Linked DNA regions of Notamacropus eugenii. The protein of the gene in region 2 purifies or fractionates together with the protein of the main gene of each other region. This does not show direct contact. Links are inferred from orthologs where the notes say so. Each region holds a gene or a part of one and is shown on either strand. Other genes may lie near its edges.

Evidence for each region. Proteins that work in one complex are often made in the same cells at the same time.
Region 1: the proteins of YAP1 (region 2) and PARP1 purify together in Homo sapiens (affinity purification with mass spectrometry, with the first as the bait; 3 studies listed by BioGRID). This does not show direct contact. The link is inferred for Notamacropus eugenii from reciprocal best matches to the Homo sapiens genes YAP1 and PARP1.

What each region holds. Positions count from the first base shown.
Region 1 is NC_092873.1:409,803,478-409,810,657, forward strand, and holds the start of PARP1 (poly [ADP-ribose] polymerase 1), read left to right. Parts: upstream 1-4,096; 5' UTR 4,097-4,339; coding exon 4,340-4,459; intron 4,460-7,180. UniProt on the Homo sapiens protein: Poly-ADP-ribosyltransferase that mediates poly-ADP-ribosylation of proteins and plays a key role in DNA repair.
Region 2 is NC_092876.1:154,292,062-154,299,350, forward strand, and holds the start of YAP1 (transcriptional coactivator YAP1), read right to left. Parts: upstream 3,066-7,289; 5' UTR 2,915-3,065; coding exon 2,585-2,914; intron 1-2,584. UniProt on the Homo sapiens protein: Transcriptional regulator with dual roles as a coactivator and corepressor. Critical downstream regulatory target in the Hippo signaling pathway, crucial for organ size control and tumor suppression by restricting proliferation and promoting apoptosis.

The DNA of each region.
Region 1 (7,180 bases), on a different chromosome or scaffold from region 2:
TGGGAAATTTGGATTCAGTCAAAGGGCCAAACTTGAGGACCTAGAGGGTCAAATGTGGACTTGAGTCTAGAGGTTCCCCACCCCTGGTCTAGTCTATTTTCTATCTTCTGAAAAAACATTTATTCAATTGTGGGAATTGTAGGAAAACTTCATTGCATTGTTTGAATCTAGCCCTGCCTGACGGAAAATTGGATCACCCAAAGGACCTAGGTTATCCCGACCAGAACTCGGTCAGATCTAAAGCCTAGTGGATGCAAGGAATCTTCTCACAATTATACATCTCAATGTAACCCATGTGTCTTATCTGAAAACTAGCCCCGTACCAATTAGTCAGTTATTGTTCCCATGTTACTTGGGTTGAATGCAAGCACTTGGGGGGAATAAGACATCTCTTTTTCTAATTTCAGGGAATTTCACTTGCTTTCTCTCCCCCTCCCAATTTAGAAAGTCCTTAATCTTTCATCCAATTAGAAATCAGATTACCTAATGTATCCTGGTTGTTTCCTTTTAATTAATTGGTCTTACTTGATTGTTTTTAGTGTATAAAAATCTATTTCCTCTAGTATTCAGGGTCCAGCCCTGAGCTGAAGAAGAGGCCTGGTCCTGATTTGTTAGGCAATTGGCACATATTGCTTAATAAATCAATATGCTTGGAAGCTCAAACCTTTATTTTCCCAGTCATTTCATCTTTCACCTATCACAATATACATTAAGATGTAACACGTGGCTAACTGTCTATAGCATAGCTTCACCTGGATATATCATAAACTGAGCATGTTCATCAATTTTCTCCCCTTGGATCCACTCACAGAGACTAACAATCTGCCATTTTTGTTTTGTCTCCCCTTTATCCTTCATTTTGAATTAATTGTGTTTGACCTGGGCAGGTCTCCAGTTTCCTTACCTATAAAATGGTATGGTTTGATCCCAGAATTAGAGTTACAAGAGACTTCAATCCAATTCTCCCATTTTACAGATGAGGAAACAGCATCCAGAAGAATTAAATCACTTGCCTAAGGACACACAGATAATAAGCATCCGAGGTGGAAGGTGAACCCCTACCCTCTGACTCAGTCAGGGCTCTTTCCCCTTGTGACAAGTTGTTGATTCACAACAGATTTCCACACCATCCAACTTTTCCTTATTTAGGTCCTTACCATCCCTTAACTTGAAGATGATAATAGTTCAGTGGCTCCCCATTGCCTTCAAATAAAGTCAAAACGTCTTAGCTTGTTAAGCCTCCCCTACCTCCCCTTACAGAGCAGCTATAACCTGTATTTGAAAGATTATCTCACTCTACTGTCTTTGCATATTCTACAGGCTAGACCAGGGGTGGGGAACCTGTGGCCTTGAGGCCACATGTGGCCCTCTAAGTATTTATTATTTACTAATCCTTAATAAAAGGATTTGTTCTGTGATGTTTGGATTCAGTCAAAAGGCTGCACTTGAGAACCTAGAGGGACACGTGTAGCCTCCCCATTCCTGGTCTAGTTATATGGTACTATTCACTGTTTCCTGACCTCTTGCTTCTCTATATATTTGTTCACGCTGCCAAGAATAGATCGCCTCCCCCCCATTCCCATTCTCTTTCTTTTTTTCTTTTTGGAGGCAATCAGGGTGAAGTGACTTGTCCAGGATCACAGAACTAGTAAGTGTCTGAAGCCCAGTTTGAACTCAGGTCCTCCTGATTCCAGGGCTACTCCCCGCAAGTGCTGATTCCCTCATCCTACTTGAGGGAATCTTCTTCCTTCGAGGTTCATCTCCCGGGCCTGAAACTTCCCTGACTCTTCCCAACTAGACAGAATCTCTCTCACTTTAAATTTCTCAAAGCAGTTTTGATCTCCCTTTTGCACTTTTCACATTCTCCCTGGCAGTGCACTTATGAACTACCTTCCCAAACAGATGGTAAATTTCTTGATAATAAGATGTTCCCACTTCATCTTTGATCTCAGAGACAAAGAATTATCAAAATAAACTTAAAATGTGTACAATTTTTCTATTTTTTCGACATTCAATATTCTTGCATCATACACAAAAGGAGGGTAGAAAAGCTAACAAAGGAATAATGCATTTTTATTCTAGGAAAATCAATCAAGGTTTTAACAGCCTGGTGTAGGGAATCAAACAATAGATTTGGGATCAATAAAACCTGTATTCAGATCTCATTTCTGTCGAGACATATGCGATTGTGGGTGCGCAAGTCACAACTTCAGATAATCTTACTATTAATCAAACAGCATTAATTTTTAAAATTTTATTTATTTTTAATTTATGAAATGAAACAAGTATTTCCATAACATAGAAGAAAAAAGATGATGGCACATGAAACTGAAATCTATTAAGTACGACTTCCTATTCCTTTTAAATATATAATAAAGTTATCGTTTAAACTTTTTTCCCCTTTTTTCCTTCCTCCTCTCCTCCCCCATTGACGGGGGTCGGTCCTAGGCGCCTGGGCGGATAGGGGCCTCCCCGGGAGTGGCAGCCCACCAATCCGAGGGAGACACGGCTCCCATAGAGGAGTTGTGAGCCCACGGGATTGGTCGGGTGGGCTGGATCCAATCGGGTGGTAGGCCTCGCCCTCGGGGCGGGTTAGGATGGCAGCCCGGAAGAACCTCCCTATATAAGACAACGCCCTGAACTGCTCGTGGGACTCCTCCATGCAATAAAGCTATGAACCTCCTGCGCATTGCCTGATTATTGCCTGCCGCCGTGTCCCCCGGGGTAGGTCCGGAGACGTCCGAAGCGGTGCCCACCGAAGGGAGATTCTCACTCGAAGGTCCCGGGGACAGACCCGGGACACCCCATAGCTAAATGTATCCCAGTGTTGGGATACAAATTAAAGACAAAAGACGGTCCCTGCCCTCTAGGAGCTCACTGTCTAATGGGGGAGACAATATACAAGCTATATACAAACAAGATACATATAGGATAAATTGGAGATAATCAACAGAGCAACAGTAGCAATAAAGGGCATCTGGTTGCTATGAAACTCAAGTGAGGCATCTACGTAGCCAACCCCCACTTTCACCCAGATAAAGTGCAGGTAGGATCTTATGTAAACTTTGTATATCCTCCTCACCCTCCCTTCTCCCTTTCCGGCTCCCACCCAGAGAAGGACTGAAGTCCTAAATGAAGTCCAGGGTGAGGAAATCACCTCTATCAATATCGGGAACACCACACACACACACACACACACACACACACACACGTCTTCTTAAGGAAGAAAGAGTAAGGCTGAGTTGGTAGCTCACTTAAATCCAGTTCATCAAAGAGGCAAGACGTCACCCGGTGATGTCACTGATCCTTTTTAAGAACCAACACCACATTACATCATGCAGATCCATCAGCGAGGTCTTCTCCTTTCTGGGCTGAGCTGGGAGGGGGCCAGGTCCAAGTATTTACGTAAGCCTTTGTCTGTTTCCTCCCTAGTCCGGGGGGACTGGTCTGAACCTGCGGAGAAGTCCAGGAGCATGTATTTACTTGCAAGGACAGCTAGGTGGGCTAATGAATAGAGCGGGGCCCTGGAGTCCAGAGGAGATGAGTTCACGTCCAGCCCCAGACACTTGCCAGCTGTATAGCCCTGGGGAAGTCACTTAACCCTGTTTGCCTCAGTTTCCTCTTTCCTAAGAAAACCCCAAATGAAGTTATGAAGAGTCGGACGCGACTGAAAACCACCAGACCCTGCAAAGCAGCGGGGATACGAAGAAAGGCAAAAAAAAAATAACCCAAGCGAACAAAACCCTTATATCTGCTCTCAAAAAGATGCAAACAGCTGTGCCCAAACAAGAGAAAAAAATACATCGGCGGGAGGGGGATGGTAGCCCCAGTTTCCTAGAGCTCTGAAAAAGCAAGGGACTCGCCCAGGGTCCCGCAGCCTCCGGTCTCGGTAAACTAGCTGTAGTCGGTACTTGACAAAGGTTAACGGAGTTGAATCGCTCGGCAGACTGGCGATGCCGGGTCTCCCCGCCAGGAGGCGCCTTACGCTCTCGGGCCAGCTCGCGCCACACCCACCCGAAAGGCGCCTACCTCCCAGGGAGGGGTTTTCCCCTTCGCGCCTCCTCCCCACCACCCCTCTCCAAGCGCAGGCATTAGTAATCTATCTCGGGAGAGCGGCGCGGCGCGCGCAGGGCTCTCGGCGCTCACTCCAAAGCCCACTTCCCTGGGCCGCCCGCGGTGGGCGGGAGAGAAAGCTAGGCGCGCGAGAGGCGGAGGCGAGGCGGCACGCGGCGTAAGTGGGGACCAGGGGCTCCCCCTCCCGACGCTCACGGCCAGTCTCGGTGGTGCGCCGCCGTTCCACGCGTTCCGAGGACAGAAGGAAGGAGAAGGCGGTGGGAGGATGGCGGAGCCGGCGGACAAGCCCTACCGGGCCGAGTACGCAAAGAGCGGGCGCGCCTCCTGCAAGAAATGCGGCGAGAGCATCGCCAAGGACTCGCTCCGTCTGGCCATCATGGTGCAGGTAGGAGGACCGACCCGGGAAGCCCCTTGGGTGGCCTCTCCGGCGGGGCCTGGGGAAAGTGAGCCGGAGCTCTCCGGGCCCTCCCCCCGCTCCCCTCCCTCCCCTCCCCCCGCCTTCATTCCCAGGAGGCTTCGATCCTGCAGCCGGGGTGGGGGCGGGGCGCCCTTGGCCTTGCGCTCTACCCCCTGCCGGGTTTTCGCGACCCCCCCCACCCCTCCCCCTCCGGCTGGGCCGGGCCGCTTTGTGTACACTTGCCTAGCTCCGGGTCGGGGCTGCTCCTCCCCCACCTAGGGAGGTCCCTAAACTTTTCTTTTGGCCTTTTTAAAAACGATAACCATCTTCTCGGAGAAGATCCTGTTAGGCCCCGGGAATGGGGTAGGCGCCGGCGCGTCTCCGGGCCTGCCGAGGAGGTTTTGCGGACCCCGGCAGCAAAGGCTGGGCCTCGGGAAGAAGCCAGCTGGGGTCCGTTAGGAGCCCTTTCTGCGGGCTCGGCAGGCCGCGTGGACGGCGGGCTCCGCAGCTGCTCGGGGCGGGGGGCTTGGGTACCGAGACCGGCTGGGGGCCCACCTCCCCGATGTTATCTCGTCCCCACGCGGTGGAGGAATGGTCCAAAAGTGAGCATCACCCGTGGGATCCTCAGATAGGAAGGACGGGAAAAAGAAAAAATAAAGGCCGAGTGGCCTCATTTTCCGTCCTTTAAAATTGTCCCCTGGAGGGCTCTGATTTTCCCGCTGCCATATTCCTTGGGCTTTGGCTGAGGTCGGGCAAGCAGATGAGCAGCTGTCCGCAAGAGATGTTTTTTTAAAAAATTCGCTTAATGGAAGTCACTCACATAATGTAGCAGATCATGTTTGTGTATGTGTATCTGTTTGTGTATCATGTTCTGATTTGTTATATGGATTCTTTCATTTATCTTAGTCTGACTACATAGCATGACTATAGTGAAAATATACTCAATAGGAAAGTATATGTAGAATCTATACAGAATTGTATGCAGTCGTGGGGAGGGAGGGAGGTAGTGGGGGGTGGGTGGGGAGGGATAAAATCGCAATTGTATGGCAGTGATTGTTAAACATTAAAAAAATAAAAAAATTAATAAAAAAAAAATTCGCTTAATGGACGTGCACGTTTTAATGCTGGGAAATGGCAGCTCTCGGCACGTAGATATTTCGTGGTAAACGACACAGCCCCGGACTTCGGAAATGCACCTTAGGGATAGAATTTTCAGACTTTTTTTAGGACACACAGAGATGCCTGCCCCCAGCTCTGCGCTGGAACTCGTTGGTGAAGGGGTTAAAATTCCCACCACAGAGCCCCGTTGGGCCATCGTTGTTCCAAAACGGGCTTCTGGGACCGCAAGGTGTTGATATTTGAGACTGGAAACATGACTTGCAGGAGTTTTTCTAATAGAAGATGGAACTGAGGGGAAGGCCTTGAGTGCACACCCAGTTATGTCTGATTCTTCTGGGAGGGTGAAGGACGTTTAACTCATTAAATTTCACTTGTAAGTTACTCTTTTTCCAAGTCTTCCCCAGGCTGCCACTGCCATTCTCCCATCTCCTCATCTTTCTTAGTTTGGATCAGGTCCCTTGAACATTTAGTTCAAAACAAGGAGCTCACCATCCTCATCCTCATCACAGAGTGCTCAGCTGGGTGTGGAAGTGGGAGTACCATGTCTGGAGTCAGGAAGACTCGTCTTACTGAGTTCAAATTTGGCCTCAAGACACCCTGGGCAAGTCATTTCACCCTGTTTGCCTCAGTTTCCACATCTGTAAAATGAGCTAGAGAAGGAAATGGCAAACCGCTCCAGTGTCTGCCAAGAAAACCCCAAAATGGGGTCGTGAAGAGAACCCACCGAACAACAACATAAGTGGGCGAGATCCGGATCTCCTACAACTAGCCCTCTCCCTTTCATTCTTGTGCCCCGATCTCTTCCCCTCTCTAAATCCTACCCATCTGTTTCCTTGGAGCCATCCTCTAACACCAACCCTTATTCATTTACCCTAGAAGTAGCACATCATCACCTGTGACCTAAAAATACACAATCCTGTGTGCTGATTGGTTCATGGGTCTTAGCTTTGTCTTTTAATTAGGCAGCAGTACTGTGGGGAAAGTTCTGACTACAGAGTCAGGAAACTAGGGTTCAAACCCACTTCTGTTTGTGTGGCCCAAGGCAAGCCACTTGAGCTGTAAAAAAGAAAGGGTTGGACTGCTTGGTCTCTTAGGTCTCTTCATATTCTACTTATAGAATCCTTAAAATCATCAAAACCTGGAGGAGACCTCTTAAGAAATAATAGTGCGTGAGCACTAGGTTTGGAGTAAAGAGATCCAAGTTCCAGACTGTATTCTGCCTGTCACTATCTTTGTAGCCTTAGCCAATTTTAGGTCTGTCTCAGTTTCGTTCTGTGGAAAAGAAAGGCATTGAACTTCATAGATGATTTCTGGGGACCTTTCTAGAGCTAAGGTTCAATAATTCTAAGTAATCCCAGCACTACCAATCTTAAAAAGGAAATATGTCCAAATGGAAAAACTTTATGAAGAATATTGGACCAAAAAAAATCTTCAGAATAATTAGGAAACTCAGACAGGGCCAGTAAATAAGAGAAAGCAATCATTCCTCTGACCCTAGATCTGATGATGGTTTCCTACTTCCCAGGGAAAGGAGCCAGGATTTATTTTTTATCTGTCCTTAGAATTCAACCTGACGATTTATCTAATATT
Region 2 (7,289 bases):
CCCCAAAACAGAGCAACACTACAGTGTAAGCATTTAGTTACACATTATGAACAAATTCCAATCAATAAAGCATCACAATTAAAACAACTTTTAAACAATGCTAACATTGTTTCTGACAACAGAAAATTCATTAACAAGTTTAAAAAAATCCACACTTGAACCTGAATTTAAATTAAACAGTTATTACCACATCTCTGCACCTAAATAATGAGGGCATTACAACAGCTTGAGTTATAATCTCACTGGACTCAGTTTCCTCATCTGTAGAATGAAGGGTTGGAGTAGAGGACCGTGAAGATCCCTTCCAGTTCTAAAAGTAGGGGATGTTTAAAATGTTAATTTAGTTAGTCAAGGAACATTGTACAGTTTGAAACTGATCAGAGATTACAATCAGGTAAAAGTTATGAAAGATTACTCAGTGCCTGGAATTTCTTAAATTCCTATGGGCAATGAAAGGAAGAAATTAGTAGGATACAACATATGCCTTAAATCAGAACTTGCCTTTGTATTTCCATTCACGATTAGTGTGAACTAATCAAGAAAACTTGGTATGTTAAGTAGCAACAAGACAAAGGAAAATTCAGGGCACATAGTTACTAATCTTCCTGGGGTCCAATTAATGATTTTGGATTATGAAAAGCCAATGCATCTATTTAACTGGCTCTTATATACTGGTATAATATTTGGAAGATATACCCATTTGCAATTCCATTTCCTTTTAATATATAGTTCTTATTGGGTAAATCTAAAATGGGGAATCTATTTTATAGTTTCTGTTGGACGTTTTAACTGTCAGCTAGTCTTGCTAAAGCGTACCTGTATATCTATATAACGAATTCACAGATGCACCCCCAATCCCACTTTTCAGTTTGTCTACGGAGGGATATAGCTATTAACTACTTTTTCCTTCTTTCTCTTTACCAGAAGCCCCTCCCCCCCAGTTGTCCAGAGGCTTAAGAGAGCTTTAGACTCTAAAAAGGCCCATGTCTACTGCATTCTTGTAGACTGTTTTAAACTAATGTGAATGGGAAGTGGGAGTGGGAGAGATATTCTTTAATTAGTTACTCAAAGCCCAACTACTAGGCAGTATTTGGAAAACAAATTAGATTTTGAACAAGAATCCTATGCCAAGTTTTTGCCTAACAAGTTATTTCAAAAAATGAAAAGATGTTTAGTGTTTTTTTAACCCACCGCAATTTAATTAACATATAGCTGATTCCAGAAGAAAGCACCTCCGAGGTTTTTGGTTTTGAAAATCTCCTAAACGATATTATAATGAAATGGGGCGAATATTTAAAAGCAGCCATGTTCACAACCCCAGGAAGAATGAAAAAGCAATGGCTATCCTAGAATTAGTCATCGCTTCCCAAACATTAACTTTTAATCATACTTGGACTTCATGAGTCAACCTGTATAGCATTATCAAAGGCTGCCTGTGTTTAAAAAAAAAAAGTTGTAAAAAGCAACTCTAATCTTTCACAAATAACAAAAATGGCTCATTCAAAAGCATTTCACCGGAGAGTGAATTTCTAAAACTACTTAATGCGACTAACTTTTTAAAAGTGAAAAGAACTAACGATCTAAGGCACAAAAGTGCTGGAGGGGGGCAGGGCTCACTCCATAAACAACTTTCAGGAAAAGTCTCGGAAGTCTCTGAAGTGGAAGTTGTGTTTCGTAGCTCGGAAAAGTGCTAAAACTCAGAGGGACGGAAATAAATGCTTTCCTGGGGGGGGGCGGGGGGGGGGGGTGGGCAGATAGAGCGGAGAGCCAGAGAAAGAGTAAGAAACTAAAGGGACTGGTTCTACCCCCACCCCCTAATCAACGTTGGAAAACAAGAGAACAATTATTTGACTCCCCAGGAGACTGATGCGGACCGAGAGGCCCTCAAGGAGAGGGGGGCCCAGGGCTCAACTTCACCAACTAGGCTGCCGCTGGCAACTCACCCACACACGAAATGCCAGACTCCCCCCTCCCCCTCCCCCTCCCCCTCCCCCTCCGTCCAGCAGGGGAAGGAAGGAAGGAAGGAAGGTGCGGAGGGAGGGGAGGTGCTTGCATTGTGCAAGCCCACCAAGTAGCACAGAGCTCTCAGCAACTTTTCCCCACCCCCACCCCCCCCTGCCCAGTTCGTTCTCCTCCCCTCCCCGCCCCCCACAAACCTCCCCCCAACTCCTCCCGCCAACCTGGGAAAAAAGGGGGAAAGGAAGTTAAAAGGGGGCCTCCCCAAAGCCCCGCAAATCGACAACCCCCAGGACTGTGTAGAACTTCAAGGGAACACAGGGATCGGGGGGAGAAGAGAAAAAAAAATCTCAGCCCAGAACAGCCGCAGGGAGGGGCCGGAGGAGGGGGAAAGTCAGTCGGGGAGAGACTTCCCCTCACCCCCCGCCGCCCGGGCCCCGTAGTCCCAGTTTCCCACCCCCTTCCTCAGTGCCCTGAGAGCCCCCGGGACCAGCCCGTCCCCGCCAGCCAGAAGGGCCATGCTTCCAAGGCGCCCCCCCAGCCCAGACTCCCTGGGTCCCCCGAGCCCCGCGAGGGGGGGAGAAGGGATTCACAAGGGCAAGGAGGGGGGAAGGGAACGTGAAGTTACCTGTCGGGAGTGCGATTTGGGCTCCGGGGGCTTAAAGAAGGAGTCGGGCAGCTTTCTGAGGCGCATGGGCACAGTCTGGGGCACATTGGCGGTCTTGGGGTTCATGACGGCGTTGAAGAGCGCCTCCAGGTCGGTCTCCGAGTCCCCCCGGACGTGCACGATCTGATGCCCGGCGGGGGGCGGCGGCGCAGCCTGGGAGCCTGGAGCTCCCGGAGGCGCCGGCTGCCCAGGGCCCGTCGGGGGTCCCTGACCCTGACCCTGGGGGGGCTGAGCCGGAGCCGGCCCCTGGCCCTGGGAGGGCGGCTGCGGCGGCTGCTGGCCCGGATCCATGGCTCTCCCACCCTGAGCTTCCCACCCCCTAACCCGGAGAGGGGAGGGCTCCGCCCGTCCGGGACAGCCTCGGACCCGCAACTAGAATGAGAGGGGGGCCCCGCAGGCGCAGGCGGCTGGGCTGGCCTCCTCTCCTTCCTCCTTCTCCGGGTCTCCGAGCTAGGGGTCCGCGGGCCAGGGCCGCATCCCCTCTGCCCCCCCCCCCCCCCACGGGGCCCCCGGACTGTTCCCCGGACGCCGCTCCCAAGTTTCGGGAGTGGCTCAGCCGCCGGAAAACTTTTCTCCCTCAACTCCCTCTGCGGAATTCAGGCTCGTTCGTCCCTTTCTCCTCTTTCTCTCTCCCTCAGTTTCCTCCCTCCCTTCCTTTCTTTTCCCGGCGGCGGCTGCGCCCGACTGAGACCCAAACTCTCGGCGGACACCAAAACTAAAGTTTGGGAGAACGGCCCTCCCGAGCCGGCCGCCGACTCCGCCTCCTCCTGCCTCTGCGCGCCCGCCCGCCCCGAATCCGCGCCCAGGGAGGGGGGGAGAGAGAGAAAGAAAGAAAAAGAAAAAAAAACTTTCCCCCGAAGTTCCTCCTTCCCAGCCACCTCCGGGACCTCCAACTTCTCTCCCTGCTTCACGTGACCACCAAGCCACGGAGATCTCCCCCTCACCCTAATCCTCCCCGGTTGCTTAAAGGGACAGAAACTCGGGCCGTCGCTTCTCGGCGCTGCTGCGGTGGAAGGGCCAGGTCTGCGTTTAGGTTCGGTCCCCTTCCCTCCAGGGATTAAGGTTACTCTCAGCTCCCGGCTATCCTCGGGTGCCTGGTGCGGTCCGCTCCCCCAGACCACCCGCTTCCGCTTCTTCCCCTCCAGCACGCAGCCCTTCTTCTTACTGACGGTGTTCGCTTTGCTTTTGTACAATCACTCAAGTGCTAGGAGCCCCAGAACTGCCCTGATTCCGAGCCCTTCGTGCATTAAAAAGTTAATGCAGCAGCCCCGAGTCTAGAAGCGATCACTGCTGCTACTCATAAAACAGGCCAGGCTGGCACTAGGTTGTCCTTATGGATACTTCCACGTTTTGAGTAAAGGTCATTTATAAACAAAAATACTGAATTTTCCTATGTTCACTGACTGCCTTTCCCTAACTTGTGTCTACACGCCTTAGAGAAGGAAGTTATAGATTAAGAAAATTATCTGGATAATCTATTGAAGGGGGAAAAAGTAGTTTGGGGGGTGCTTACATGCTTATTGAAGAAGTTATGTACCCTTTGCTTATGGAACTTCAGTTCAACTTCTAAAAAGCTACTTTTTCTGGAAAAAAAAGAAGATGAAAGCAGAGTTCTCTTTATGATTGAGGGATTGTGTAAACTTTTTAACCCTACCTGTGACATTGTTATAAAACGCTTTATTGTAAAAGTCGCTACATTGTATAGTTTTTTGTAACTATTCCCCATGCAATAAACCTACAGTGTGGTTGTGGCATAATCTGTGGGGAAACAATGTCTGGAAGTGCTTTAAAGAAATGAGTTGTTTTTTTTAAAATCTGTTTTCCCAAGATATAAATGAGAGGCAGAGAATAATTGTAAGATCCTAGATTTAGAACTCCCAGGACCTCAGGCCATCTAGGTCATTGTGCGTGCTCCTTTTTTAGATGAGTCAGGCAGTCAGTCAACAAGCATTAATTAAATATTTACTATATGCCAAACACTGTGTTAAGATCTGAGGACACAAGGGCAACAAAACAAAAAACCCTCACCTTCTTGTGAAGCTAACGTGTAAACAGCTGTACATACTAGATGTATACAGACTAAAGGGAACCTCAGAGGGAAGGGGGGGATGGAAAGGAGACATGGGAAAAGCTTCTTCTAGGAGGTGGGCTTTAAGCTGAGTCTTGAAAGAAAGCAGGAGGCAGAGTATTCCAGAAATGGAGGATAGCTTGGGGAAGGGTACCAAGTCAGGTGAAGAAACAGCCAAGTAGGGGAAGGGATGTGTCACTGGATCATAGAGTTAATAGAGAATAAAATGAAAGGAAACTGGAAAGGTAAAAAAGGACTGGGTTATGAGGAGCTTTAAAAAAACCAAACAGAGGACTTTCTATTTGATCCTGAATATAACAGAGAAGCATTGGAGTTTTATTAAAGGGAGAGGATGACAGAGTCTGATCTGCTCTTTTAGAAAGATCCATTTGACATCTGAGTGGAAGAAAGAGTGGAATGAGGACTGACTTGAGACTAGTCAGCAAGCTATTGAAGTAGCTAGCCCAGGCTGAGCAGAAAAGGACCTGCTCCAGAGCATTGTGTGAGTGAAGAGAAGGGGACTCTAAGAGAGATATTGTGAAGATAGAAACAAGACTTGAGAACAGATTTGGATATGTGGGATACATTTTGAGAGAGCAGTTGAATATGTCACCAAGGTTGTGAGCTTGGGTGACTAGGAGGATGGGATGGCTTAACAGTAATGGGGAGAGTTGAAGCTGATTCCCAGAAAGATTAATTTGTTAATTTACTGTACGTATGTGTATGTCTGTAAATCCAAGTCCTTGTGAGAGATGTGGATATTTCCTGACAGAATTCAGTCCTTAAAGCATATTTTCTGTCTGTTTCTAAAGTTTGAGGGTACTACTTGTAGCTATGAGTGACTGAGTAAACTGTGTGGTGACAAAAAGTCTTCTGACTGACTGAGGAGCCAGAAGGACTGATGACTCATGAGTGTTTGAGTCAGAAGTGAATGTGTATACAAAAGGAGTAATCTGCTGAGAGCTGCCTTGTACTGGAATGGCAGCAAGGTATATTCCCCCACCTGGCCATGTGATAGTGAGTTCATGGCTGCTCTTCCTTTTGTGTTTCTTCTTCCCTAATCTTGGTGAATGTATGTGTCCTAAGACAGAATTGACCAGGTTACAGCCTTGGGACCTTGGAAGGTTCAGAACCATCTGAGGTCCCAGTGGACCTCATAAAGTTGATGACAAGGTCCATCAGAGGTGATAGCAAAGGATGATGACAGTGGAAGCACCTGCAGATGGATGTAGAAGGACAGACCAGTTAAGAAAGTCAACTTCAGAAATCATGCCCCATTAGGGGCAAAAAGAAACAAAGGCTATGGACTCTACCAAAACACAAACTTGGAACTCAACAAAGACCTAAAGGAAATTTCTTGGAGATTCCATAAAGGGAAAAAGAACTCAGTAACCAGGAACTATGAATTAACTCTTTGCCACATGCATCCTCTACATATGTTCTATTTACCACTGTAGTTTAAGCCCATTTTCTCACTGAATATGTAAGGAAAGAGAGAACTATTGAATTTAAAATGAAGGTGTGGCCTTTCATCTTGGCTTTACCATTTACTGCTTGTGAGACCCTGAGCAAATTACTTAAAATCTTTGTGCTTTAGTTATTCATCTGTAAATTGTTGGCGCTAGAGTAGATGTCCTCTGAGATCCTCTTTAACTCTAAATCTATAAGACTGATTCCATGATGATGGACAAGCTACTTATCTCCCAGTCTCCAGGCAGCTCCCTAAAACTATAAATTACAAATGAGTGGCTGATCTACAATGGTAGAGGAAGTTTCCACACTGGGAACTCCCTAAACTGATGGCATCACAGGTACAGATTCTGATAGCCCTCCCCCAGTGTCTCATTTCAGTATTTTGATCCAATAAGCATCAGAATCAGCAGCAGAGATATAAGTAAATTAAACTAGGAAAAGAATGCCAGAGAAAGATATCAAAGAACCTAATGAGGTTCTTCCAGAGGATGCAGATATTTTTAAAACTCTCATGAAGAAGTATGAATATTAAAATCATATGGTTATGGAATCATAAGAGAAAGAGACTTCAGAAATCATCTAGTTTAATCCATTACTGAAATATGAATGCCTTCCATCACTGACAGGCAACTAGGTGGGGTGTGTATGTGTTCGTCCTTCATTGCCAAAGAAGACCATGTCATCAGAGAAATAATGACATGACTTGCGCTTGACTTTGTTTTGAGTGAGGTAGGGCTGCAGGTCACCAGCCTCACTTCTCCTCCATAGCCATCTGAATCCGGTGACCAGATATTCATCAGGATGACTGGAGATGACCCAGAATGTGGGGTTAAGTGACTTGCCCAAGGTCATACAGCTAGTGAGTGTCAAGTGTCTGAAGTGAGATAGTTGTGTTGAAATCAGCAGGACCTGCATTCAAATCCTATCTCAGGCCTTTACTAGCTGTATGACTTTGGGCAAGTCACTTAACCTCTGACTACCTCAGTTTCATCATCTGTACAGTGAAGACAATAACAGCACCTTCCTTCCAGGGATGTTGTAAGGAATAAAATGAAAGAATTATAGTTCCTAACTGAAAATCTCCAGTAATAGAAAACTCACTACCTACCTCATGTCTATGCATTT